Coturnix japonica: one gene and its partners. The protein of the gene in region 3 purifies or fractionates together with the protein of the main gene of each other region. This does not show direct contact. Links are inferred from orthologs where the notes say so. Each region holds a gene or a part of one and is shown on either strand. Other genes may lie near its edges. The genes, in order: TRRAP, CAV1, CTNNB1, HDAC7, CTNNA3, TOP2A and SMARCA5.

The links.
Region 1: the proteins of CTNNB1 (region 3) and TRRAP purify together in Homo sapiens (affinity purification with mass spectrometry; 3 studies listed by BioGRID, with this or other methods). This does not show direct contact. The link is inferred for Coturnix japonica from reciprocal best matches to the Homo sapiens genes CTNNB1 and TRRAP.
Region 2: the proteins of CTNNB1 (region 3) and CAV1 purify together in Homo sapiens (affinity purification with western blotting; 3 studies listed by BioGRID and IntAct, with this or other methods). This does not show direct contact. The link is inferred for Coturnix japonica from reciprocal best matches to the Homo sapiens genes CTNNB1 and CAV1.
Region 4: the proteins of CTNNB1 (region 3) and HDAC7 purify together in Homo sapiens (affinity purification with western blotting; 5 studies listed by BioGRID, with this or other methods). This does not show direct contact. The link is inferred for Coturnix japonica from reciprocal best matches to the Homo sapiens genes CTNNB1 and HDAC7.
Region 5: the proteins of CTNNB1 (region 3) and CTNNA3 purify together in Homo sapiens (affinity purification with mass spectrometry; 4 studies listed by BioGRID and IntAct, counting the BioPlex papers as one, with this or other methods). This does not show direct contact. The link is inferred for Coturnix japonica from reciprocal best matches to the Homo sapiens genes CTNNB1 and CTNNA3.
Region 6: the proteins of CTNNB1 (region 3) and TOP2A purify together in Homo sapiens (affinity purification with mass spectrometry; 3 studies listed by BioGRID and IntAct, with this or other methods). This does not show direct contact. The link is inferred for Coturnix japonica from reciprocal best matches to the Homo sapiens genes CTNNB1 and TOP2A.
Region 7: the proteins of CTNNB1 (region 3) and SMARCA5 purify together in Homo sapiens (affinity purification with mass spectrometry, with the first as the bait; 3 studies listed by BioGRID). This does not show direct contact. The link is inferred for Coturnix japonica from reciprocal best matches to the Homo sapiens genes CTNNB1 and SMARCA5.

Annotation. Positions count from the first base shown.
Region 1 is NC_029529.1:1,465,362-1,469,125, reverse strand, and holds the end of TRRAP (transformation/transcription domain-associated protein), read right to left. Parts: coding exon 3,561-3,764; intron 2,736-3,560; coding exon 2,541-2,735; intron 1,428-2,540; coding exon 1,143-1,427; 3' UTR 157-1,142; downstream 1-156. UniProt on the Homo sapiens protein: Adapter protein, which is found in various multiprotein chromatin complexes with histone acetyltransferase activity (HAT), which gives a specific tag for epigenetic transcription activation.
Region 2 is NC_029516.1:22,486,266-22,490,029, forward strand, and holds part of CAV1 (caveolin-1), read right to left. Parts: intron 2,166-3,764; coding exon 1,824-2,165; 3' UTR 1-1,823. UniProt on the Homo sapiens protein: May act as a scaffolding protein within caveolar membranes. Forms a stable heterooligomeric complex with CAV2 that targets to lipid rafts and drives caveolae formation. Mediates the recruitment of CAVIN proteins (CAVIN1/2/3/4) to the caveolae.
Region 3 is NC_029517.1:39,909,339-39,913,573, reverse strand, and holds the start of CTNNB1 (catenin beta-1), read right to left. Parts: upstream 3,050-4,235; 5' UTR 2,779-3,049; exon of another isoform or gene 2,760-2,778; intron 2,051-2,759; exon of another isoform or gene 1,901-2,050; intron 1-1,900. UniProt on the Homo sapiens protein: Key downstream component of the canonical Wnt signaling pathway.
Region 4 is NC_029544.1:454,375-458,138, reverse strand, and holds part of HDAC7 (histone deacetylase 7), read right to left. Parts: coding exon 3,646-3,764; intron 3,262-3,645; coding exon 3,141-3,261; intron 3,046-3,140; coding exon 2,996-3,045; intron 1,763-2,995; coding exon 1,655-1,762; intron 1,540-1,654; coding exon 1,484-1,539; intron 1,263-1,483; coding exon 1,175-1,262; intron 896-1,174; coding exon 776-895; intron 457-775; coding exon 359-456; intron 266-358; coding exon 147-265; intron 1-146. UniProt on the Homo sapiens protein: Responsible for the deacetylation of lysine residues on the N-terminal part of the core histones (H2A, H2B, H3 and H4).
Region 5 is NC_029521.1:8,411,051-8,414,814, forward strand, and holds part of CTNNA3 (catenin alpha-3), read right to left. Parts: intron 2,822-3,764; coding exon 2,715-2,821; intron 1-2,714. UniProt on the Homo sapiens protein: May be involved in formation of stretch-resistant cell-cell adhesion complexes.
Region 6 is NC_029542.1:4,104,594-4,108,961, reverse strand, and holds the start of TOP2A (DNA topoisomerase 2-alpha), read left to right. Parts: upstream 1-1,470; 5' UTR 1,471-1,485; coding exon 1,486-1,782; intron 1,783-1,856; coding exon 1,857-2,003; intron 2,004-3,086; coding exon 3,087-3,177; intron 3,178-3,453; coding exon 3,454-3,517; intron 3,518-3,970; coding exon 3,971-4,116; intron 4,117-4,362; coding exon 4,363-4,368. Other genes in the region: collagen alpha-1(III) chain-like, read left to right, coding at 1-152, 319-431, 506-716. UniProt on the Homo sapiens protein: Key decatenating enzyme that alters DNA topology by binding to two double-stranded DNA molecules, generating a double-stranded break in one of the strands, passing the intact strand through the broken strand, and religating the broken strand.
Region 7 is NC_029519.1:26,884,842-26,888,605, forward strand, and holds part of SMARCA5 (SWI/SNF-related matrix-associated actin-dependent regulator of chromatin subfamily A member 5), read left to right. Parts: intron 1-25; coding exon 26-147; intron 148-227; coding exon 228-380; intron 381-1,776; coding exon 1,777-1,909; intron 1,910-2,580; coding exon 2,581-2,729; intron 2,730-2,967; coding exon 2,968-3,087; intron 3,088-3,334; coding exon 3,335-3,445; intron 3,446-3,764. UniProt on the Homo sapiens protein: ATPase that possesses intrinsic ATP-dependent nucleosome-remodeling activity.

The DNA of each region.
Region 1 (3,764 bases), on a different chromosome or scaffold from region 3:
AAACAAACTGCTCAACAAACACATCACATGCATGTCTCATCAGTGCAGCTCCCACCTTGTAATGCTCAGGCGATTTTAGTTTCAAGATCACACTCGCCTCTTGGTCTGTTCAGCTTCTGCCATATTAAAACTACCCAATGAATGCCATAGAGAGGGTTTGTTTTTCTTTTTTAAATATTTATTTTGAAAAAATCACTCTGTACAAATGTAACATCCTCAGCACTGGGGTCTTATAAAAATGCTCACACAACAGAAGGACTTGAGTGAAACATTAAACTCCTCTCTTCTTAAATTACAAAGAAACTGATTCATTCTAAAGAAGCTATTGCAATTCTAAACATTAAAAAAGAGATAACTTTATAAGATTTATCTTCTTTCTCTATTGCAGTCAAATACGTGTATCAATAGATGACTTCTCCCATGCTTTTTATAAGCTTTCCCCCCAACACTGTCCACAACTGAACCAAATGCCCTAAATGGATTACACTTCTTCTGTACACAGCTTGTGCTCCAAGAAAACCTCGCACAATCTCACCATCCTTTTCTCAGTGCCTAACAAAAAGATGCGTCTATACATCCGGTACAAAAGTCTCTGTACAAGCCACATTTGCTCACGTGAATTTCTCAAGCAAATTCAAGGAAGAATATTTATTCGAGCCTTCCATTTGGTATCATGAAGGAACAGTGATTAAGTAAAATTTCACAAAGTAAAATCAATGAACTGGGAATTCTGTCCGCTTTAATAATTATTACTGTATAAAAACTTTATATGTTGTAGGTTATTAGGAATGGCAAACCTGAAATCTAACAGTGCTAGTTTTACAGTCCCCATCATAAAATAAGATTTTTTCTGTGTATTTTTAAGTTTCCTTCCCTAATTTTAAGCTATTTGCAAAAGCCATTGTTGCAAATTCAACAACCTTTTCCTTTTTCCTTATTTTTTTTTAAACAGGATTTTAAACCCTCATGAAATTAAAAGGAGTAAACCTGTCCTATTTCTGTAAACACAATCCAACGAAGACTGACAAAATGCAGTGTGACAGGTAAGCCAAGGTCTGATTTCTCTTTCACATTTCCTTAGCACAATATATGGCTCACACCAGTGACGGCAGCATCAATAAAAAGCTATTGCAAATTTCAAGTTACAGCCAGGGGTGCCAGGCAGGATCCATCCGACAGAGATTATCCAAGCTATTTGCAGCTGCTACCAGCGTGTTCACTTTGCTTTCTCCTCCTTCAAACTGAGCAAGATTATGAAGTCGAGTCATGATAGCGGTGACAGCTTTCTGAACGAGTGAAACCAGCTGCTGGCTGTCCATGTTTTCAGGCTGTCCAGCTGCTGAGAGCGGGGAGGAGGTATCCTCCTGTGTTTTCTTGTGCCATGCAATTATTTCATCCCGCAGCACAGTTTTCAGGATCCCATCAACCTACATGAGAGAGAAAAATCAGACTATTATGTTTAAGCTCAGCAAGCACGAGCTCTACTCTGCAGACTTTAAACTAAATATTAGTCTCCTCATGCTTCTAAGATTTTCTGGTATCAAGTCTGAGATAAACCTTCTGTTTGCATATAGTAAATAAGCATGTTTTAGCATACCTAGATATCAGGTCACGCATTTATTAAATACATTTCATATCAAACGTTAAAGGAATTCCTCTCGTGTCCAGAATTCAGACAAGCTAACACGACTGTAACCACACACCTGAGATGAGCTGGGCACCCATCACTCCAAAAAGCACAAATGGGCACCCATGCTCTCGTCTTGTAAATTCAATATGAGAAGTCTAATCGGGTTGACATCATCCGGATGCACAGATTACACACCAAGTCAGCAAACTCATTTGCATGTACAGACATGGCTTTGTAAGGCAAAGTGACGGATTATTTTTTAAAAAAATCTAAATTTTCCATATTACAAGGAAAAAAAAATCCTTTTAGGATATTTTCCATCCTTTACAAAGTAACTGCTCACACTGTAGCTGCAGTACACTCTGTGCAGTGCCGTTCTGGTGCAAATTGCAGCCTAAGTGCATGATGCCTCATTTTTGGAAAGCATTAGAATTTAAAAGGAAGTTAGACAATTTCTTTAGAAAACTACACCCTGCTAAGAGCTCGAATCCATCAAAGGAACAATGTATCTTGAGCATTCTGCTCTGCTAACAAAGGCCAAACACATTTCTATTCACAGCATATTATGAAGATTCTAAATGATGTTGCATTTGTCATTTCACTACTTACTACTGCCAGAACGTGTAGGGATTTATGAGGCTACAGCACTGAAACAATCAGCCTGAATTAACACACTTCAACAGAATAAAGAAGAAATTCAGGGTACAATTACACCTATCTTCCTCCTATTCTTTCCAAAACGGCAAAGTCTTCAGCTGCTTTTATGATGACCTTGGGGTAAGACTTCAAAACATAAATATGAGGTGCTCAGTTGCTATCTCAAGCAAGAAAATGCTGTTTAGCTCCTCGTATCCTAAATGATAAATGCAAATGAAGTGCCCGTAAACAACTTTTGGAAAGGTATACAAACCTTAAAGTTTGGCTGTGCAAAGCAGCGAGCAACTGCAATCATGGAGGCGGTCAGTGGGCCGGACACCCCAATGGTGGTAAGAAACTCGGAGATGTTTGGTGTGAGGCGGAATGGAACCGGGCGATTGGCATCCAAATCTCCCGTAGCATCATTAATGTCAAAGCGGAAATATGCTACATTTAGCTTGCCAGTATCCTGGATGGAAAACCAAAATGCACAGTTTTTGAGTAAATAAGTTCAGACTGAAGTAATTTTTACCAGTGAGTGTCCAAAAAGCTGTAATGAACACAGATTGTAGTATTAAACCTCGGGAAGCAATACTCCTCTGGCAGGGGTCTGAAAGGAGCTGGGCATAAAGATGGATCTTCACTCTCCAGGCATCTCAGCTCTGGGTAAGCACTTTCTATGTGCTGCTCACTGGGTAAGAACCTGAATGGCACAGCTGCACAGTGGGAATTAAAAATCTACACTGCCATACACAGCGTAACTCTCCATGCATTAAAATGCCATTAAGGCTTTAATATATACCACCTTTGCTCTACTCCTCATTTTAAATATTGGGTTAAAACAGAGAACTTACTTCTAATAGGAGTTGTAGCTTGACGTGATGTCAATGCAGAAAAGAGGCCATTATTTGAAAAAGGGTTTGCTTTTAAAAGTTTTATTTTGTTGTGTTGTGCTTTGTTTTTTTTTTAAGCTGTTTGGCACACAGGTCTATCCAAAGCAACATGTTTAAAACAAGACTAAAGAGAGGCTGATCAGTCACTTGCAGTAACAGTTCTGATATCTGTAACCAACTTTACAGACTACGTAATAAATTCTAACCACAGAAGGAAGACTTGATGGCAACTGGGTCTGCAGTATAAATCACTGCCTACATGATGTGCAATCACATAATCAAATGAAAGCCTACTGAAACACAATTATATATCGCAAATCCCCTTTTTGACTCAATTCAAACTCTGAAATTTCCATTTGATCAAAAAAGACAGCGTGTAGTTAGGACAAAACAAAGCATACCTGAGCTATCTGCAGCATTTCAGGGTTGAGTCTGTTTAAATGAAAGATAAATTCTGCAAAGCCAATCAGGGCTAACTGAATAGTGAACATCTTTCGGAAGGTCCAGTAATCCGTGGCATTGGGGAATGTATGTAAAGCCCACTCCTTAAGCATACTGCGTGGCACCATGTTACTCTGCACTTCTTTAAGTATATCTCTGAGAAC
Region 2 (3,764 bases), on a different chromosome or scaffold from region 3:
GTAAATCAGGAAAGTTTTCTTCTGAATGATCTTCCTCATAAAAAGATAAAATATATCTTCTTTAAAATTTTACTTGGTTTCAGTACAGAAAAAAAAAATCTATAATAGTACACTCTCCATTATGTACATAGAAAAACATAAAACTATATCCATACCAGTGTCTGTTTTTAATGCAAACAATAGTAGTTAATAGCTTTGTAACTTTTTGTGCACCTTTTCCCCTCTTCCCTCCCTCTCTTCCTCCCTCCCGGCCCCATTAAAAAAAATGCAGCATTTCCTAAAGTTTTCAATGCTTTGGCAGAAATGCAACTGAAGGCACTCCCGTGTTAAGCAAAGCAGTAGGTGAAATATCAGCGCTAGATAAAAAAGCTGCAGGTGTACCAGACAGCTCCGTGCTCAATTCCAAGGGCCAAGCCCTGTTCTCTTGGAGGTCAAAGACTGGTTTGCAGTAGATGCCAACCAGAGCAGGCTCAGGCCTCAGGCTGGTTACAATAAAGCAGATCAGCCTCACAACTCTTTTTACAAAAGCTTCATGCAAACCACATGAGGATACGGGCTGTATCTCTCAACACAGTACTATCATGAGGGCAAAAAGCTCCTGTAGGTCACAGCATCAGAAAGCGTCGCAAGGACTTTGCCTTGTAGGCCTTTAACCTTGCTACATAGGCTAGCTTGACACAACACCCTCCATTTAAGACTTCCTGATGTTGCAGCACAGCTAAAAACAGACTAATCCACAATGTGAAGTTTCTAAACCGTCTCTCATGATGGATTAATTTAGATTCAGCAAAGCGTCAGTTCATCTGAAAATAATGTGTGCTCGCGGCATGCTGACTTCTGCTGATAGGAAAGTTTTTTAAAGCTCATTGGAAAGTTTCCTTTAGAGGCAGCCCCTCCTTGGCATTTTGTGGCTTGTGTTTGGCACACCTTCGTGTTTCTTGTAACTCAGGGTTATCTCTGGCATGCTTTTATATGAATACTCTGGAAAAAAAATAAATGAAGCCCACGAGATAAACACCTAAAACAGCTAAAGGATGTGTCATAAGTCACAGTCAGGAAAACGTTTCCATAATGACCAGTTTTAGTTTTCAACTTCACTTTTCTTCTACAATTTAGTGAAGGTTGAGCTACAACTGGCTGCAAACTTCCAAGTAAGAATGAGATACAAAGGCACTAACAGAAGCCTTTTTATGGATGAGCAAAGCTTTCACATGTCAGTGTCTCCAACCTGATGAAATGTTAGTTTTTCAGGACATTCATTAATTAAGTAAATTGTTTACTTATCCAATGTATTCATAGTACATCACACCTGACCATGATTGCAAATCGCTGTAGTCAACTGACTACACAATTGAAAAAGAACATTCTGCTAAAACCTGCCAGCTTGTCATGTTTATTCTGCTGCAGCAGCTCTACACTCTTTGGCCACAATAAAATGAATGGCATTACAGCGTTGGAAAGCTTTTTTGTCATTCTTTGGTAACTCTGTGGATTTATCTTACAAGGAATGAACAGTGAGACAAAAAGGCATCCAACAACATTTCAGACTCTGAATTGAACAGCCAGCAAAATGATATGCAGCTGTCATGGAGGAATAGCTATTTAAGGTTAGTTTGAAATACAGACTGAAAAGAGAAAACACAATAGGCAAGTAGTCCAGTATGAATACATAGTAAAAAAGGATATTGAGCAAGTGATTTTTTGTTTTGGGCCAGTATATCCACCAGTTGCTGTATGTTGCTTTGGGAAACGTGAAACTGGCACCAAAACACCCCAAACAACACAAATCTCCCACCCCTTCTCCAGGCTTTTTGAAATGTCCCTCAAATGTCTTTCTGTACTGTGGCTCGGATGCTGCTGAACACCTTGCCCATAGCCTCAAACAGTGGGTCGCAGAATGTGTGGATGCAGATAGAATAGACACGGCTAATGCACTGGATCTCAATCAGGTAGCTCCTGATGCACGGCACCACCGCCCAGATGTGCAGGAATGACAAGATAGCAAAGTAGATGCCCCAGATGAGTGCCATGGGAATGCCAAAGATTGCTGACAGCAAGCGATAAAACCAGTATTTTGTTACAGTGAAAGTGGTAAAACTGGCCTTCCAAATCCCATCAAAGCTGTGTGTTCCTTCTGGCTCAGCAATCACATCTTCAAAATCAATCTGCAGCAAAGAACACAAAAATCAGGTCAGTCAAACATCCTCATCAAGTGTGGAGCCCAGAAAGCCCCTTCCTCAAAAGCAATGATCGCCTGTAACAAACATTGAAGCTTCTTACATCCCAATATGAATTAACCCATTTTAAAATATCACCTAAGCCATGAGCAAGACTTGTCTTTTTTTTTTTCCCCACTGACTATAGGTGATACTTAATGATTAGCTCAATGATACACATCTAACTTTTAGATGGAGAAGAGCTATCCAAAGAACTGAATATTTTGTCCTCCTCTCCTGCAGCCTTAAGGGTAAGGAATGCCCTTAATTCTACTTAAGACATGAAAAGGTGATAGAAACATTGTATTTTCATTGTCTAGCTTTTCACCATCTCACATCTTTATAAATGGAACAAGTGCAGACACTGCTTTGACATTTAACACATCAATAAAATGTGTTTTATTTGTTTGACTTTTTCCACCTTCCCTTATATAGTATTGCTGAATTTTGACAGTGAACAAATGTTGAGGGCATCTAAATATACTTTGAAATAGGCATAGATAGCTGTTGATTGGCTGAAAAACAAAGTGCTGGATTTAGAACTGCCTAAGATGGAACTTATCTTTATTGTAAAAGAGTGAGGGAGTCTTTCAATTTTATTAAGCGTAAGAAGGCTTTTCACACGAGAGCCATTTTGTTCTAACCTGCTCTGTTTACGTGATAACACTGTTAGTGGAAGACATAGTCAGGATAACGTGTTAATATTTAGAAGGAACACACTCTTCCACATATTTTATAGTTTTGAATATTATTCATAAACTGTTCACAGAGTCATCTAAGGAAGCAGTACATTCCAGCATGCATATTTTACCATTCTCTGTTGAAATATTGAGCTTTTCAGGAAGCCTAATTGTCATAACATTTCTATTAGAAAATTAACAGAATTACTATGATAGTTCAGCTCCATGTCACACAAATGTGTTTGATATAACCCACCATACAGGATATTTAATTTAGGCAGCGCAACAGATTGCATAGGTGCTGCATACAACAGGAAAAAGAACGCCATCAAATTATATCTCTCTAAGAAATGAAATGGTTGTTTAACTTAGATGGAAGAAAAAAAGAAAATGCATTCCTGGGACTGAATCCCAGTGTCCAATGATACTGCTGCCATAAGGGAAGATATGGGCCAGAGGTCTCAGAAAGTCAGGCAACAGGTCCTTAGCACGCTGGAAGGACATGAATGTGAATATACTCAGTGTATCACCTATGCTGTAGGAAAAGGCTCAAAAAAAGCTCGATTAAAATACAGACTGAAGTTGACAAAAAACCTTCTCCCTTTCTCTCATTGAGTCTTCACGTGAATTCAACTGAGTTCTTTGTTAGGGAGCTGTTGGAGAGGGTCCAGAGGAGGGCTACAAAGATGATCAGGGTGCTGGAGCACCTCCTCTCTGAAGACAGGTTGAGGGAGGTGGGCTTGTTCAGCCTGGCAAAGAGAAGGCTGCAGGGTGACCTCATTGCTGCCTTCCAGAACCTAAAGGGAGCCTACAAACAGGAGTGGAGTAAACTCTTTGCAAAGGTAGATAATGGCAGGACAAGGGGAAA
Region 3 (4,235 bases):
TGCACATGAATTTTATCTGCCAGTACAACAAAACAAACTTCTGGCTATTTATTTCCTCATCCCAGAAGAGACAACACAGGCCACACAACGAGTATATTAAGTCATTGCCCTTTGGGACTATAGTCCCAACACAGCTTAGAGAAAATTCTAGCTCTGAATAAACTATCAGAGATGGATATTAAAATTAACCAGTCAAGCTACTCACATTGGTAACTCTAACCAATGCAGTGGATACGTCACACAACAAAGCACCCCCAAAACAAGCCTTCTAATGCTTAACCAAAAAGTCAGCCAGCAATAGTGCCCTGCCCTCTTTTACCAGGAGTCACTTTGCCTGAACAGACAAGGAAATCGCATGCAATACTCAGTGCCACGCAGTCTGCAGAATTAGCACGGTGCCACGGCTAAGCCGGAGCTCCTGCAGAGCCACCCAGAAAGGCAGGAGGCTCAGGATTTGCAGGCACATGCTTGAGGAGTCGTGCACAAGCCCCAGCTGCCTGCATAGTTTCTCACCAAATCTTATCAGGCCCTATGAAGTATATGATGTTTAAGATAAGTAAGGTCGGTCCTGATTTTCCTGCCGCAGTACGTAGTCTGCCAGAGTTACAGAACAAGTTTTGCTGCCATCATCACCGCCAGCCCTGTGTTACCAGCTTTAACTGAGTTAACAGGAGCGATTCTGCTTACTGCTGTGTTTGCACACTAATCTGCCTACCAGACAGTATTCCACAGAAACATCTTTAGCCGTAAGTTTCAGACAGCACCATCAGACTCCCATTCACAAAGACAGATGATTACAATTGCTCTTTCCTGCTCCCTTCTTGCTATGTGCCTCTCTACTCCAAGAGTCATTTAGAAGGCCACCAAAACCGACTTTTCTCCTTTACAAAAGAATTCACTTAAGCACTGCGCTCTGAAAGACTAAACACAAGCTTCTGTTAGTTTAAAGTCACGAAAACCAACATTCACCACACAAAGAAAGCCTCATCTCTGAAGGGCAGCGAGGTTTCAGGACTGAGATTTGATAAGCTGGTTACTGACACACCAGGCAGTCACAGCAACATGCAAGCATTCATGAGAATGGATCAGGCAAGCAGCCCAGCCCATTTATTGCTTTGGTAAGAACAGGAAGCCTGGGTTGCAGGAGATGTAACAGAAGGCTACATTTGAAAAATGGATTGACTTTAAAGCAAATCCTTGTTTTTAGAAGCTCTCCTGCTTTGTCCTTTCATCAGGGTGTTTTTATTGATTTCTTCCCCACACTCTGAAATGAAACAGTCAAACAGATCAACATGAACGTTCTCATGTCTATCAGTTTGTAACTAAACAGATGTATGAACTAATAGCCACAGAACAGTGATATTTCCTTAGGGCTCCAGAAGAACCCAGCACTCGATCCAATTCTTCTTGCAGTGGCTGAATTTAGAGAGGTTTAAGACTTTTCCTGAACACTTCAGCAGCTCATTTCCAGCAGTACCAACCATTCTGCAACACACAGATAAAGGCAGCTGTCAGCACCTTTTATAAAGGGTGCAAGATTAACATTAGATTCCTGCATTGTCAGTTCCTGAAATTCACGTTATAACTTAACAAACAGCAATGAGCTTCACGCTCACTGCAGTTTTAAAGGCTTGCAGGAGGACATTACTAACATTCAGAAGCAAATTTGTTAAAGGAAGAGTTTATCTCCCCTAATTCTGAACTCAGAATGAAGGAAATAGTGACACGTCCAGGTAGTTTCCTAGCCTGCCCTTGCCCTATTCCGAGCACACAAAGATCCTGTTTTACTAAAACCCCTCCTTGATTTCCTTCCCCCGACCTCAGCATACCAGCCCGGCCTCTTTCCATTCACCACTGCATACTTTGGGGGATGGGAGGACCACAGATGTCTGGAACGTACCGAGTGTCAGAACAATGGCCGCTCCACGAGAAAGAGATCAAGAAGTAAAAGCCGACCGCAAAGATCAACACCGCTGCTCTCCAATTCACAACCCGCCCGCGGTACCTTCACAGCCTGTCCTCCCTTCCCAGTAACCTCTACCGGTGGTATCTCTTCTGGGAAAAGAGAATCCAATCGACTGCACGACGTCCTGCTGCGAGTTTCAGCTAGAGGATAACCGAAGATTTGGGGAGTTTTGGGAGAAACTTGCCCCAGGACCGTGCACAAAAGATGGCTTTTCAGGAATGGACACACCTGGGTCTCCCGTTTCACGGGGAGCCGGAAATAAGTGCCCCAAACATAGCTGGGAGCGACTGCCAAGTTGTTTCGAAGCGCCTTAGCTGGGGGGAACCGCGGTCCCCAGATGGGCTACAGGGTGTCTCAAATTGACGCTACGACCGCACTTCGCGGACCCCCATGAACAGCGTAAGCCCTCCAGCAATCACAGGCACGCAAATAAGACCGAAAACCCACGCGGCATCAGATCAGCTATCTCCCGCACACTGCAGCGGCCGTGATTAGTTAATTACACGAACAAACCCACTGCTCTCCGCCCCTCACCCCGCCACCACCACGACGGCGGCTCGGTGACCCCCCGAGAACCGAAAAACCCTCCCAAGAAGCCCCATGCCCGCCGAGCCTCGCCCCGCTGCCCGGGACGCGCTTCCCGAGAGGCCCCGGGGGCCGCAGTTGCCGCCTCCCGCAGCTGTCCCGACCCCTTCCGCCCCCCCTCCCGAAGCCCCCCACCCTCCCATCCGAAGCCCGGACCCCCCCCCGTTCCCTCTCCCCGCTGAGGGAAGGGCTCGCCCCGAGATCCCACCGGATGAAGCGGCACTAACGTGGCACGGAGGCGAGAGCGTAGCGTCCCCTCGGGCTCCGGCTGCTGCTGCCGCCCGGGCGATCCCGGCCGGATCCGTCTCTCCTTCCTCGTGCCGCCCTCCTTCTGGCTCAGCTCTCTCCCAGCTGCGTCCCCCGCCGCTGCCTCCCGTATAGCAACCGTGCGAGGCGGCGGCGGTAGTCCCCGAGCGCCGCTGCTTGCTGCTCCCAGCGCCGAACCGGGAGAGAGGCTTAAAATGGCGGCGCTCACAAGCAGGCTCTTATAGCGAGCGCTGGGCTGGCTGTATCCTGCCGCCGCGGCCGGGCCCAGCGCGCAGCATTCCACAGGCACCCAGCGCACAGGGCAGGGGGAGGAGAAATAGTGCCCGGCTCCCAGGGCGGAGGGAGACGGAGGAGGCCGAGGCGGCAGCAGGAGCCGCCTGAGGGAGGGAGGGAGCGAGGGGGAGGGAAGGAGGGAGGGGGCGGGCGGTGGTGGTTGGGACGCTGAGCTCCGGAGGTGGGGGAGAAGGGAGCGAGCGAGTGAAGTTGTGCTTGAGGGGTGCGGCCGCGGGGATCAGCCTGGAGGCTGCGTCCCTGCACCGTCTGTTTGTACGGAGAAGACTATTTTCAGTATATATATACATATATATATATATATATATATTTTTTTTTTCTGGGTTTTAAGCACGTTTCGCAACGCACGCCCCCGATTCACACAGCCTAGCTTGGGTGGCGGATGGGGGGGGGGGCGGGCTGGCTCCGCTGGCGTCGGCGAAAACGCGCCTCGCGTTTTTCTCCAGGAAGCGGCTGTTAAAGACAAGTGTCTCGTTGTGCGATTTATTGGTGTTTCACGAAAGAAGCGAGCAGCCCCGGACCCGCTCCTCACCACCGGGGCTGCCTCCTCTCAGCGTGCGCGGCCCCGCGGGGCGCGGCCCTGCCTCGGCGCCTCAGCGCGGGCTGCGGGACGGTGAGAGCGGGGATATGAGTTTGCTGCTCGTATTTCTTTTTCCTCTCGTTGTATTCAGTAATACACAGACTAAAAATAAAAGAAAGAAAGAAAAAAAGCCTTTTCTACAGCGATTTGCACGTCAACTTGCTCCCGTCGATGCTTTTATTTTTTTTTTATTTTTTTTTTTTCAAATGGGATTCTTCCTTGTGGTGAAAATAAAAAATAAGGAGGGTTTGCTGTACACAGGACACGCCCCAACCTCCCAGGCGGCCCGGGCACCCTTCCCATCCCTGTGGGGCCGCACCCCGTACAGGGCAGGGAGGCTTGTCCCATTAAAATGGCTCTCGAAGTAGTTACTCTAATAATAATCATCTTTGATTCCTTCCTGTTATGTTGTAGGGCTTGCAGCAGTGTCCCCCTACCAGCCTCTGGGCACCCGTAGGTTCCCGCTGTAAGAGGTGAACAGCCTTGAAGTTGGAGGTCCAAGGCATCCAGCTTCATTTGTTGCAGTGTTTTCTCTCAGGACGGTTG
Region 4 (3,764 bases), on a different chromosome or scaffold from region 3:
CAGACATCAGCCTCCCTGCCCAATACAGCAGGGAAAGAGCCCCCTCTGCTGTGCCAGAATAACTCTGAGCTGTCCCTGTGAGCTGCCAGCTCCAGAGCCCAGCCAAGCAATGGGAAGAGCTCAAAGTGCTGCTTGTACTTCCTTACATTTAGCAGAGACTTTGTAGCCACCCAGGGGTGGTGGGTGGCCATCAGCTGCATCGAAGCCAGCTGACACCAACACCACATCGGGGGAGAATTCATGTGCGATTGGCATCACCACCGTCCTGTCAGGGTGAAAAAGAACAAGTAGTAAGAGGGGTTAAGTGTTGGCTTAGCCTGAAGATGGGGGAAATGCAGAGGAATGCAGAAAATAGTACCTGAAAGCAGCCAGATACTCAGGGTCACCCATGGGGGGGTCAAGGCCTCCAGTCCAGGCTACGTTGACATTAAATCCCTCACCAGGGCCAGCACCAACCTGGGGGAGAGCAAGGATGATGGTGAAGGGCTGGATGTGGCCCGCAGGGATTCATTTCTCCACCCATACATGGGTCAGATCCCCTCCATCCTCATAACCATCAGTAAGCAGTCCCATGCTTCACCATGTCCTGCACTCTGGGAACAGGAAACCCCAACTCTGCATTAAGGCAAAGCAATGGAGATCAGCTTCCATGGAGACGTCCACCTGAGGGTGGAGGGGATGGACACCCTGGGGTCTCTCACTTGTAGGACTGAACCAAGGGGCTGCCCCAAAGCGGAGCTGTGTGGATCTTGGGGCCTGTCTGTTCATTTCATACCTCATCAGCAGCCCCGCTGCCAGGGAAGAAGTTTCCATCGTCGTGACGATGCAAAGAGATGTAGAGAACGTCGGGGTCTCTGTAGAAGATCTGCTGGGTCCCATTGCCGTGGTGAACATCCTACAGAGAGATATGGATGATGTGAGGGCCCCTTTTTGTGCACTTGAAACTGCCCTGCAGCTCAATGGAGCTAAAAGCACCTAGATCCCTGCCCTGCTTCAGACTCCCCTGTCTCAGATCTGGTCCCAGTTCCCCCACCCTGACATGTCAGGGAGATCCCAGCCACGTTCCTGAAGCCAGACCCCAATTAGGATTCTCTACCCTCAGGTCTAACCCCAAATCAGAGCTGGGATGTCCTGGGAAGGCACAAGAACCTTCTAGGGGACAGGAACAACTTACCCAGTCCACAATGAGGATCTTGCTGAGTTTCCCTTTCTGCTGCAGCTGCCTGGCAGCAATGGCCACCGAGTTGAAGAAGCAGAACCCCCTGCAATGAGGCAGGTGGAGCTGCTCAGAACCAGGATCCCCTGAGCACCCATCCCTCACCAAAGGATGGGCTCTGCCTCCCCTCCCCACTTAGTCTGAGTACAGAAGGGTCCTGGGGCTGTTAACAGGGAACAATTAGTGTTATCACCCCCTGGGGGGACCCTGTATTGACCTAGATTCTGGGGCTTCCACTACAACACCCATCTGGGAAGGGGCCCTTACATGGCAGTGGATGGATCCGCGTGATGTCCGGGCGGCCTCACCACAGCAAAACCATTCTGGGGACAAAAAAAATCCATGAGGAGATCAAACACCCCAGCAAGCCATTCCTGCTGCAGGGACATTCCGTGCCATACTGGTGGGACCTCCAGGCCCCACTGTCCCTCTCCTTACCTTCAGCTCCCTACTGGCCACTTTGAAGGCCAACTCGGTGACGCTGCCTGCGGCCCAGCGGGCTGCATTGGAGGAGTGCAGCTCATTCCAGATGGTATCACTGTCCACCTGCAAGCAAGGGAACAGTCAGATAGAGATGGGGATAGGGCACATCAGCAGGAGAACCCACACTCTGTGCCAGCCACCCTGCTCAGAGGATGAAGCCACCCTGCAAACCATGGGGCAAGATCCTTGGCTCCACAGTGTCCACCTGGGGACAGCAGTCAGGGTAATGGCTCCTCACCCTGACCCCCAGGGAAAGCTCTGCACATGGAGCACCTCACCCTGTACCCAGGATCTAGAAGGAGTGACTGAGAAAACGCTCGTTACCTTCTTTATCTTATTTTATTGTTTAACCAAACATCTTGGTTTGATCAGGATCACGTCAAGGGCTGAGCCAGAGCCGGAAAACTCAAGTCTCTTCTGATCAACTCCATGTGTGCAATTCAAATGCTCCCCCTTTGCCCCCCGAGGGGGCAGCTCCAGGCCCCTGCCTTCGGGCAGGGCAATAGGAAGGCAAGGGGGGAGGCAGAGCAGGGAAAGTGGATGTAAACGAGGCTGAGAAGAGCTGGTGCCCAGCAGCAGGGGCAAGGAGAGGAGAAGAACCAGAAGAGGCAGCAGGAAGGCATGGAGTGAGACCCTTCCTGAAAGAGAGAGAAAGAAAAGGACAGACGGGGAGAGAGGAAGAGAGGAGAATGCAATGAATGGAGAGAAACCAGGGCAGCAAGCTCTGAGAGGAGAGGCCACAGAAATGTCTGGAGAGAAGTGGAAAGCTGCTGTCCCCATGCCACTGTCCATGACCCTGGTGGAAGCCCATGCTGCACCCCGGCCATCCCACTGGGATGTGGGATGCTGTGCACACAGCTGAGGTCCCATCTGTCCCATAAATCTGCTCCCTCCTAAAGCCCCTGGCTCTCAGATGTGGCTGCAAGGGGTTTGTGGTAGCAGGGTTCCCTGGAGGAAGGGTCTGCAAAGGTCTGATTCAAGGGCAGGATGCTCCCAAGGATAGTGGGAAGCCATGCTACAATGATGTCCTGCTCCCATTTGAGGGAGGCTGGGACAATTTTCTGTGTCCATATGCAGGCTGTTGTTGCTTGGGCTGAGTCTGTAGGAGGCCACAGACCAGATTCTACCCTCAAGGCTCTGAGCTCCCTTGGGACAACCCACAGACACACAGGGGTGGGGGCTGAGAGCAGCCCAATGGCTTTGGGAGCTCCCTCCCCACTCAGGCCACTCAGTGGGGCCAGAAGAAATAAAACAAGCCCATCCAAAAAACACCCTGAGCAAAGAAGGAGCACTTACCCCCACCCCTCCACAGGGCAGCATGACGAACATCCGCTGTGACAGAATCCCTGCAAGGAGGAGACAAGGAGGATTCAGAGCCATGGGAACCAGGGATAAGGGCACACAGCACAGGGACAGCACAGGAGGGCAGATGGGGGCTCACCTGCCAGCTTCCCATTGTCCAGTTTCAGGCGGTTGAGGGGATTGGTGCCATAGAGGAAGACGTGGCGCTCGGTGTGGACACACTGCAGCTCCTCCAGGGTGGCCTTGCGTCCCCGCAGACACTGCAGGGCACAGGGGCTATGACTGAACCACCCCAGGATGGGACATGTGTTCCCCTCCCCAGATAAGCCATAGACAGACTGTTTTCCTACAGTTGTAGAACCCTCTATGGCCCAAAGTCAGTCCTACTAAATCAGGATTAATAGATAAGAGCTGACACTGACGTTCCCCAAGCTGGCAAAACACCTCAGTCCTATCTCAGCAGGGATTGTGCCCATCTTCCAGCACAGCAAACTCATGGCCATGGTCACACCAGTGTCAGCAACAGCCAAATGTAAACCCCCTTCCCAAGACCTCTTTGTTATTGGATAGTGGTGGAAAACAGGCTGGGAAGATCTGGGAACAAAAGGAGTGGAAGTTGGGCACCCCCCTCCCCTGCTCCTCACCTCACACTGGCTGCGCAGACCCCTCTCCTGCAGTCGGGACCAGATGCTCTGAATCCTACCCGCGTGCTCTGGATGGTTGCTGTTGTCACCACAGGAGCACTGGTGTTTGAGCATCACCG
Region 5 (3,764 bases), on a different chromosome or scaffold from region 3:
ACAGAGAAACTACTTCATTTTCAAACACAAAATCCCAATGAGGAATATAAAACCATACTGATGATTCTACACAAAAAAATTGAATTAAGCAGCAGCAAACATAGCATGCTTTTTTGATCCACTGTCAATACAGGTTGCACAACAGTGACAGAATACACAGTTAAAATGACAGCATTATAAGGCTCAGAATAATAAAATAAATAAATAAACAAACAAGGGAGAAACATACCCCATTAATCTAGCTCATGCCTAATTGCATTTCAGTTAGTTTTATGTTGCCATACATCCTTATTGCCATATATGATATTGCTATCTCCCAGCATTCAGTGGAAATCAATACCATATTTTACAACACTTAAGATGTTTGGAGGAGAATTACTATAAGACCAAAGATTTTAAAGTGAGATTTTCAAGTCCATATGCCATCACAGCAGCACATCTGTTGTTGTCAGTTATTACCATTATTTATTAAGCTTGTAGAATTGCTCTGTTTTTTGTTTTTGTCACGATTCACAAATACTGAAATCCTAGGGCACTGTGCAGTAATTCTTCTAATGCTATATTCAGAACCAATTCAGTCTTTAAAAGACAACCTATTAGCATTACTGTAGTTAAAGAAAACAGTATTTTCATACCTTTAGTACCAAAAGATTTTCTTTATTATTATTATAACAAAAAAATTAAAAGCATCAACCACAAAATAGCTTATAAGTGTTGAAAAGCATTTAGTTAAGTAACTCTAATCCCTGAACATTTGAAGAAACAATATATGAAGCCAGCAATCTAATGACAATAGCAGAAGTACCTCCTCACCGTTTCAAATGCTAGCCAGCCCTTGTCTGAGTCAGATGTTTGGGAATAACAAAGTGTTGCCCATAAGCATAAATACTGCTTAATCAGTTGCACTGTGCATAGAGTAAATTCACCATACAGAACTAAAAACAGCACTGAATCATTTCTATGTGAACAAAGTTTTGTCAGTGTGGGTGACATGGCAATAAATAAAAGCCTTTCTACTTCCTTATTTTTCATCAGTAATATAATACATGAAATCCTAAAACACATGCATTTGTAAGTATTCTGTAAAAATTACCTCTCTCTCACAGCCATAAAATTTCCATAGCCTGTGTGTGTGCAAAGAATATAAACATACGGAAGAAAATGTGCTTGGTAAGGAAAAACTCTTTGAAATATTTGAGAAGTATACATGTACACACATAGCACATATTAAGTGTGTGTATACATACAAATAAAGAGACAGAATTTCAGACAAAGTCTCCAAACAAGTAGCTAATCTGCATCTTATAGGACTTGCACAGATCACAGGGTGAAAGCAGTTATGTAGTGTTTCCTTCATGAATCAATGAAGTGACATAAATCTCATCCAGCCACATATTTCCTAATTTTTAATTAAATTCAAAAGAGACAATGTCTAGCACTACTTTGTTATTTGTCATAGGTGAGGTAGAGTTAACTTTATGCCTAGAGGCTTGTACCATGCTGTGCTTTGGATTTTTTATCAAATAATAGTAATAACACCTTGACTGTATTAGTTGTTGCAGATCAGTGCATACACAGAGCCAAAGACATTTCTGCTTCTCAAGCTGCCCTGCCAAAGACAAGCTCAGAGCACACAAGAAGCTAAGAAAGGGACGCAGTCAGGACAACTGACCCCAGCTGGCCAAAGGAATGCCCCATATGATGCGGTGTCATGCCTACCAATAAAAACTGAGGTAAAGGAAGAGGAAGTGGAGGACACTCAGAATGTTGGCATTTGCCTTCCAAAGAAAAAATTAAATTGTTATGTGTCTCTTCTGTCTTAAAAGTGGCTGAATATCTGCCTCTTGATGGGAATTAATGAACAAATCCTTGTTTTGCTTCACTTGCTCGGGAAGTATTTGCATCACCTAGCAAATAAACTTTATTTCAATCCATGATTTCTCTCTCTTTCAACTTTAGGATTCTCTCCCTCATCCCATTTGGGAACAGTGGGTGAGCAGCTGTGAGGTGTTGAGCTGCCTGCACCAACACTACAGAAGCAAACCTAATCTAGTCTCAAATGTTATCCTTATTTATATTAGCAACAAAATTCAACAAGCTTTGGTCTCTGAAGGTGAAATAAAATATGATATGGAATTGTACCTAAAAGCCTTCCATTCAGACATACTTTTCCCAAAACACATGGAATAAAATAAACACCATGGACAAAGACAATCCCTTATAGTGTTTGTTTGCATGATGGCAGGGGGTTGAGAAGGATTAAAGAAATTTTTTTCCATTACTCTGAAGACCTAGTGCAACTAGCAGTACATAGCCATGAGAGTAAGTATGGAAGTATAATGCTAGTCAGATTAACACAGTTATGCCACTTTCTACCTGTGAGTTCCTCTCTCTGCAGAGCCCTGCACAGCAATATTCTAACATACCACCTTAGTCACTGCTTGGGATGCCAAGAGGGAGATGCAACAATGCTGACAGTCCTGCAATCCTCTAGTCATCATCTTGACAAGGCTGAAGGACGCAGGTAGACGGAGAACCTTGTGGTACATGCAATTAACTAAATAAAAATAGGGAATTGCATAACAATGCCCAGTTTCCAAGCCAGTTACAGAAGAGTCATGGGAATGCTTTACACAACAGTGTTCTTAGTCTATATTCTTCAACCTCATTCACTTCTCTGTATGTCTAACTTCTTTTCTGTAATGTTAAAATACCTGAATTATAAGTGGTTCCAGTAATTTCTCCACTGTAAAGGTCTGGATCTGCAGATCCTGAGGATCAATTTTCAGTTTAATGTTTGGTACTTTGGTTGGCATTTCACCTAGGAACAAGGCAAAAAGATAAAAAATAATTTTGTTGTGCAGTTATTAACCATGAGAGCCCATTGCAATCTGTCTGTGTCCAGAAACCACTTCCTGGAGTACAGGCTTGATTCCACAAAAGGATTAGGATTTGAAGAGATAAGATTAATTATTATGATTCCTTGCTTCTAAATTGTGAAAATATATACAGATACCCACATAAACTGTGAAATAATAGATTTCAGATGCATATAAATGTCTTCTCTTCAAGATTTCTAGTTTGACTGTGTATTTTAAAAAAGCACAAGGATAATTGTATGAAAAATCCATTAAGTATAAATTCTGTACTAGTCAATAAAATTGAGCTTTTAAAGAAGTATGTATTTCGTTACTAAATCTATTGAAAAACTGCATTACTGAATGCATCACAGAAGAAAAACACTGATGTTATGTGCATAAGACCTATATCTTACTTGCACGTTAAAGCATAATAAACAGTTTGAGAACAAAAATGTATATAGAAGCTCCTAAAAGTCCTGATAATTAACAGCATGAGAATGTGAAACATTTAGTTATTTTATGCCCTGCAGTAGCAAACGTTTTCTAAGTGTTGAGACAGATTAAATTAAGAAAACCTATAACTGAAGACAGTAAGATGGAATTAAAGCTAAGGAAGATCTTTAAAGTGAATGAGTCATTCATTAGGAGCTGGATCCAAAGTTCACAGGCATTAATTTAAGGGTTTTCACTGAGTTCACCGGGTCCCGGTTCAGGCTGCAGTGTAATGAGTGTGCACCAGCAGAGAATTACAACTGTGTTTTAAGTAGGAAAGCAAATAATTATTGCTCCAAAATAAAAGACACTTGAAATTTTCCAGTAACTCAGCTTCCTGTAAAACATAATTCAGCAAAGCTTTTTTATCCAGTAAAGACTTCAAACACAAAAGTAATGGATATCTGTCTG
Region 6 (4,368 bases), on a different chromosome or scaffold from region 3:
GCGGTATCCGCGGTGCCGACCTGCAGTGTTACCGGCAGTCCCACGAGGCCGGGCTCTACGGAACCTTCCGGGCGTTCCTGTCGGCCCCCAGCCAGGACCTGGCCTCCATCGTCAAGAGGACGGACAGGACCCTCCCCATCGTCAACCTGAAGGCAGGGCTTTATCCCCCCAGCAAGCACGGGCTCCCCGTGTGTTTTCCTTGCACCGAGACGCACCCACAGCCATTGCAATGGGGACAGCGGGCTTTGAGGAACGCTTGTCCCCCCCCCAAAGCTCACTGCCCCCCCCCAAAGCTCATTGCCCCCCCCGTGTCCTTAGGGCCAGCTGCTGGCTCGCTCCTGGAGCTCCCTCCTGCAGAGCCCGGCTGGAGCCGCCCTGCGCAGCCCCATCTACACGTTCAATGGGCGCAACGTGCTGAGCGATGCCCTTTGGTGAGTCCCGGCCCACGAAGGGTGGGATGTCGGGGGGTCTCCCCGGGGCTCCCCGTCATCCCGTCTCCCCGCAGGCCCCGCAGGTTGGCGTGGCACGGATCCACGGGGCGGGGCGGCCATTCCCAGCGCCGGGACTGTCAGGGCTGGCGGAGCTCCGGCCCCGGGGAGGGTCTGGCGGCCCCGCTGGGTCCGGGCCGGCTGCTGGCCGGGCAGCGCCGAAACTGCTCCGAGGAGCTGGCGGTGCTGTGCGTGGAGGTCGCCTTCCCGTACCGACACATGTGGTGAGAGACCCCCGGAATTGGGGGGGGCTGCGGCTGGGAGCAGCGGGACACCGGACACCCCGTCCATCACGGAGCCCCCCCCCCCCCCCCCACACACACACAGCGCCCACGTTTCCTCGGATATAAATAAAGGATCAATCAAAGCTGCACATCGGGCGGTTACAACGCGCTGCTTCTATTTGTTGCGTTCGGGATGGCACCAAATGGAACCGAATGGAACCAAATGGAACCGAATGGAACCGCCGTGCGGGATGAACGGGATGGGCGGGATGGGCGGGCGGGGATGGGGCTGATATGGGGCAGGTATGGGGCTGATATGGAGTTGATACGGGGCAGATATGGGGCTGGGATGGGGCAGATATGGAGCTGATATGGGGCTGATATAGGGCTGATATGGGGCTGATATAGGGCTGATATGGAGCTGATATAGGGCTGGGATGGGGCTGATATAGGGCTGGGATGGGGCTGATATAGGGCTGATATGGGGCTGATATGGGGCTGATATAGGGCTGATATTGGGCTGATATAGGGCTGATATGGAGCTGATATGGGGCTGATATGGGGCTGATATGGGGTTGATATAGGGCTGATATGGGGCTGATATAGGGCTGGATATGGGGCTGGATATGGGGCTGGATATGGGGCTGGATATGGGGCTGGATATGGGGCTGGATATGGGGCTGGATATGGGGCTGGGATGCCGCCGTGGTGCTGAGGATGGTTTTGGGGGGGCACAGTCCCGCACTGCCCCGCACGCCGCCGCCCCCCAAACGATGTACTGCGTGCCTCGCAGCGCCCTCCTTCCTCGCTCCTCTATTGGTTACCAGACCTGCCCATCAAGCAGCCCCCTCTCCCGACTGTCTGGTTTTGAAAGAGCGGAGCGCACGGGAGGGCGGGCCGTACGTCCCTCCGCCCTTCAGCGATTGGCTGTTTTCAAGGGGCGGTGCGCTGTGATTGGCGGAGCGTTTCGGCGGGCTCGGCGGAGGTTTGAAACGCGCTGCGCCGTTACCGGCCGCCATCACTCCGCGCCCGCCGCCATGGAGCTCATGGACTCACCGGCGCCGCTCCGGGTACGTGAGGGACCGACCAGACCCTCCCTCCATCCCTCCCTCCCCACCCCGCTGAGCTCCGCTCTCTCCCGCAGCCCCTTCACGACAACGCCCGGCTGCCCAAGGCCGATGTGGCGCAGAAGCGGCTCTCGGTGGAGCGCATCTACCAGAAGAAGACGCAGCTGGAGCATATTCTGCTGCGGCCGGACACGTACATCGGGTCTGTGGAGACCGTCACGCAGGTGGGGAGACCTGTGATGTGTGATATATGTGTGATATATGTGTGATGTATGTGTGATGTATGTGTGATGTATGTGTGATGTATGTGTGATGTATGTGTGATACATGTGTGATACATGTGTGATACATGTGTGATATATGTGTGATGTGATATATGTGTGATACATGTGTGATACATGTGTGATACATGTGTGATACATGTGTGATACATGTGTGATGTATGTGTGATGTATGTGTGATGTATGTGTGATGTATGTGTGATGTATGTGTGATATATGTGAGATATATGTGTGATATATGTGAGATATATGTGTGATATATGTGTGATATATGTGTGATATATGTGCTGTGTGTGGTGTATGTAATGTATGTGGTGTGTATGTGGTATATGTGGTGTATGTAATGTATGTGGTATGTGACATGTATGTGACATGTATGTGACATGGGGTGTATGTGACATGTATGTGACATGGGGTGTATGTGGTGTATGTAATGTATGTGGTGTATGTAATGTATGTGGTATATATGATATATGTGCTATATGTGGTGTGTGTAATGTATGTGGTGTCTGTAATGTATGTGGTATATGTGATATATGTGGTATATGTGGCAAATATGGTATATGTGGTGTATGTGGTATATGTAATGTATGTGGTGTATGTAATGTATGTGGTATATATGATATATATGTGATATATGTGCTATACATGGTGTATGTGATGTATGTGGTATATGTAATGTATGTGGTATATGTGATATATGTGGTATGTATTATATATGTGGTGTATGTATTGTATGTGGTATGTATATGTGGTGTATGTAATGCATGTGGTATATATAATATATGATATATGTGCTATATGTGGTGTATGTGATGTATGTGGTATATATGATATATGTGCTATATGTGGTGTGTGTAATGTATGTGGTATATATGGTATATGTGGTGTATGTAATGTATGTGGCATGTGTGATATATGTGGTGTATGTGGTATATATGATATATGTGGTGTATGTGATATATGTGCTATATGTGCTATATGTGGTGTATGTGTGTGCTGTATGTGGCTCCTTCTTCATTGCAGCAAATGTGGGTGTTCGATGAGGACGTGGGCCTCAACTGCAGGGATGTGACCTTCGTGCCTGGCCTGTACAAGATCTTCGATGAGATCCTGGGTGAGTGCAGCCCAGCATTGTACCTGCCCTCCAAAGGACACGGCCGCTGTGTTACAGCCCGTTTAACCCTCAGTTCTGCTGTGGGTGCTGTTATTGTAGCGTCCTTCTTTGTAACCTGCCAAACATCTCCCTTCCAAAGAGTTAATTGGTGGTTTTGCATTGGATCTTTGCATTTGTTCTACTGAAAACCCCACCTGATTTAGCCCTTTCACTATGGTTTATGTCTATTGTCCCACTTGTGAATGCGCTCTAATAAAAGTCACCTTCCCCTTCCAGTCAACGCTGCAGACAACAAGCAGAGGGATAAAAGCATGTCCTGCATCAAAGTTACCATCGACCCGTGAGTGCTGCTTTTGTCCAATGCCTTCCCCCCTCAGCTGCTTCATTCTCTCACTCCCTCACTGCCCTGTTGGTGTATGTACATCATCCTGTTGATGTAGGTGCTGCAGAGCTCAGTGTCGAGGCCTATTCATGTTAAACCTACCGTGGCTCATGGGCTGTAACAGCCTCATTCCTTGTGTGCTTCCTCGTTCTGTTGCAGAGCACTGACTGCCAGGCTGTGGTTGCACTGAGCACACGCTTTCTGTGTGCTGCTCCATTGTATTGGTGCTCTGCAGGTCTGAAGCTGGAGGGCTTTTTGTAGACTTGCCCTCCCTCTGCTGGCTGCTGCCGCAGTTGCTGAACAGGAATCTGTCTGTAGATGAAATGGTGGCCTTCCTGTGGAGATCTTGTCTATTTGTTTCAGAGCTCAGTCATCTGCAGCCTTACAAATTATACTTTCCTCCTCCTCCAGAGAGAATAACACCATCAGTGTGTGGAACAATGGGAAGGGTATCCCAGTTGTTGAACACAAAGTAGAAAAAGTGTATGTTCCTGCTTTAATCTTTGGGCAGCTGCTGACATCCAGCAACTACGATGATGATGAGAAGAAAGTCACAGGTAGGGAACACTGCAGAGCGTGCAGATGTACCTGGGCAGCCTGACTGTGTGATCTGGGAACTGAAGTACCTATATGAGTAACTGGTGTTAATTAAATGCAGCTTTATAGTGGCTGCAGGGTTTGTGGGACAGTTTATTGTTAGTCATACTTGGTGCTGAAATGAATGAGCTCTTGTTGGTCTGGAGTTCTCTCTGGTGGTTTTGAGCAAAGGTAACAACTCAGACATGTTTTCTTCCTGAATCCAGGTGGGC
Region 7 (3,764 bases), on a different chromosome or scaffold from region 3:
CATAAAGGCTTTTTATCCCAAACAGGTTCACGAGTCTTAATCTTCAGCCAGATGACCAGAGTTCTGGATATCTTGGAAGATTATTGCATGTGGCGAAATTATGAATACTGTAGACTGGACGGACAAACGCCTCACGACGAAAGACAGGTATATAAGTATTTCTCTTACACAAAAACAGCATTTATAAAACATTTAGTGCAACTGATGATAATGTTCTCTTTATTCAGGCTTCTATTAATGCGTATAATGAACCTGGTAGCTCAAAATTTGTCTTCATGTTGAGTACACGGGCAGGAGGTCTTGGAATCAATTTGGCTACTGCTGATGTTGTAATTCTGTATGATTCAGACTGGAATCCACAAGTAGATCTTCAGGCTATGGTAAGAACCCAGATACAAATGTTCTTTTTTCCTCATGTAACTTTCTTATAAATGTGTGTGTTATACAGTGGTGGCATTTTTAAGGTTGAAGTGATCTTTCTCCTGTTTTAGCATAGAAGTAGTATTTTGAAGACTTAGTATTCAGTTCCAGTGCAGCTTAGTCACATTTGGGCTATGCAGTGATTCAAGTGGGGGGAAGGGCCATGATACTCCTAGTAGTGTTTAAAAGTAAAGTAAAAGAGGACTGCTTTCACTAAAAACTAAACTAATGGCATGTCTTAATTTCCCAACTATAAACCGTCCTTCTCTGAGGAGTCAAGTTCAATGTACTTTCACTGTCTCCACTGAAACCTTAGAAAAGAGGTGAATAAAAACCTGAATTAGAGTTTTCAGAAATTGCTTCTGGCTGCTAATAAACGTGCAAGCTCCTGTTGGCAACCAACTTTAATTTGCTGTAATTTTCTTTGAAGTAAATTTTTATGCATCTCCGGACATTGACAAAGAATGTTCATGATGGCTAAAGAAAGAAAGTTGGTATTTAAAACCTACAAATGTTAATTGGCAAATGAAGTCTTTCAGTGACGATTGTATGTTCTCAAGTGTTCTAGCAAAAATAGTTTAAGAGAATGATGAAAACAATGCCTGAAAGCCAAAGTGATGTAGTTCAAATTACCACTAAAGGTGTATGTTTGGAATACTAATTCTTGTAGTGGTTAATGATTTGCCAGTCAGGTGAGGTTGCATTGTATTTTTTTATTCAAATACTCATAGAAGGACTGAATGGTTTTTAGAAAGGTAGCTCTTGGTCAGTACAGAGACAATTGCTAAGGTACTCTGGTTTTACAGGAGGTTGCTTAATGCCAGAAATATCCAATCTTCCCCTTTGGTATTTAACCAAAAGAACCCCGGGCTATTTTGAGGAAAATTGTGTTTACAGACTTCGTTATTATTGGGATTACTTTAAAAAAGAAAGAAAGAAAAAAAACAACACCAACTTGAAATGCAAAGAACAGTGTTGTCCAACCAAATGAGAGAGACAAGAGTACCCAAAGTAAGAGTCGAACCAGGACAGTGCGAGGGAAAGTATGTGCTTTTCTCTGCGGTAAGCTGAGATGGCCAGAGGCAGAGAGTGGCTGGGCTCCGCTCTGGAGACCCAGAACATGAACTCTTTAGCTGCCACGGTTCTGCATGATGTTCTAATGTGGAATGCTGATACCAAAAATCACAGAACCACAACACATGCTATCTTGGGTACTCATGCTACTTGGACTGCTATAAAGCTGCAACTAGCCTACACTATTCTGTGTTACAAACTAGTATATTGAAACTAACTAAATTGATGGTAATTATATATTTGGGTTAAAGCATTAAGTTTTTGTTATGTTATTTTGTGTAGGATCGAGCTCACAGAATTGGTCAAACAAAGACCGTAAGAGTGTTCAGATTTATCACAGACAATACAGTGGAAGAAAGGATAGTGGAGCGTGCAGAGATGAAGCTCCGCCTTGATTCCATAGTCATTCAGCAAGGCAAGTATATGGGGGCAATTAGTTAAGTTTGTACACAGGATGAGTTTTTTGTTTTGTTTGTTTTCAACAATTAAAGAAGTGAAATCAAGTGAATGTTAATGGGAATGTTGCTTTTGCCCCAGCTGTACTCTGAAGATGGAGTGCAAAGACCTGATCCATTTGAAAACTTACAACAGGGGTAGGCTTCTCCTCATTAACTTTTTGATTACTTGCCCAGAAATAAAGTGGATATAGACAGATGTCATTTTTTTAAATTATTCTGTTTAAGAAAATTAGTGTTGAAATGGAAGAAGTAAGACCTTGGTTTTATTTAATATGCAGGGAGAAGTGGTGAGGATATAACCTCATACATAGGCTATAATGGAAAGATTATTCAACAAGGTTTTGTCTTGAAATTGTAAAAAAAAAAAAAAAAAAAAAAAGACAAAACACCATCAACCAAAAAAAAACCATGCACCAGAACAGCCAAAATGGTTCAAATGCAACTAATGTACTGTGAAACAAAATGTATGTCATTCCTGGGTAGATTTTGCTGGCTTTTTATTTATTTATTTATTTTTCCCACATGGAATTTCCCTGCATGAGATGCATTTTCAATTTAAGGCTAAGGGAAGGGGGAAGTCTTCTATTGTTCCTCCTTATGTTGTTACCTTCCAATGCTTTTCTCTTAGGAAGACTGGTGGATCAAAATTTGAATAAACTTGGGAAGGATGAAATGCTGCAGATGATCAGACATGGAGCGACACACGTGTTTGCCTCCAAGGAGAGTGAGATTACAGATGAAGATATAGATCACATTTTGGAAAGAGGTGCAAAAAAGGTGAGATAAATGAAGTATTAAAAGCAAAGAAAGGCACTTCCCTGTAAACTTAGATGTTAGGCATATATTGCTGGCTGACAGCTTTATTATAAGCTGGAGAAAAATATGGTTGTTCTTAGAAGTTTTATATTGGTTTTTTTTTTTTTTTTTTTTCCTACTGTTGCAACTGAGTTTTTGTAACTTTTTGAAAGCACTTTTCTAAATTGTTAATATTCTTTTCTCTCTCCCCTGCCCCCAGACTGCAGAAATGAATGAAAAACTCTCTAAGATGGGTGAAAGTTCACTCAGGAATTTCACAATGGATACAGAATCCAGCGTATATAATTTTGAAGGGGAGGACTACAGAGAAAAACAGAAGGTAACCTTCATGTTTCCTTCGGAGGAAAGCAGTGATCTGCAAGATTGTGCCATACTTTAAAATGTGTTGGTTAAAATACAAGAGAACTACATAAACAACTTTGAATTTAAATTATTTAATAAAGTAGATGTGCTCTTCATTTTATATAAAATTAATAGCTGGACTGAATATTATATAGGACTTAGTCTTGATAATTCTTGGGGGTAGTAGGATTTTATTTATTTATTACTATTATTATTATTTACAGATGGCATTTACAGAGTGGATTGAGCCCCCTAAACGAGAAAGGAAAGCCAATTATGCTGTGGACGCTTACTTTAGAGAGGCTCTGCGAGTCAGTGAGCCAAAAGCTCCCAAGGTGAGTTGACTAATATTAAAAATAAATTGATCAGATAGATGTGGGAAGTTAAAGCTGAAAGCAAGAAATTGGCCTTAATTTATTAATATCACTCTGTTTGCTTTCATAAATTGGGGTGGCACTTAGAGGGTTAAATTTTAGAAAAATTCAAAGGATTTGAGAATTTTATATGGGGAAAGAGCAAGAGAGTGATGAAACCTGTAATGTAAGAGTTCAGGAGGGTGAAGACTTGACTTTGCTTTTTAAGTGGCAGTTGTTTTTCTTTACCTATGGACTGTATGCTTATTTGGTGCACGTGTGAGTCTTTTTCCACCAATCT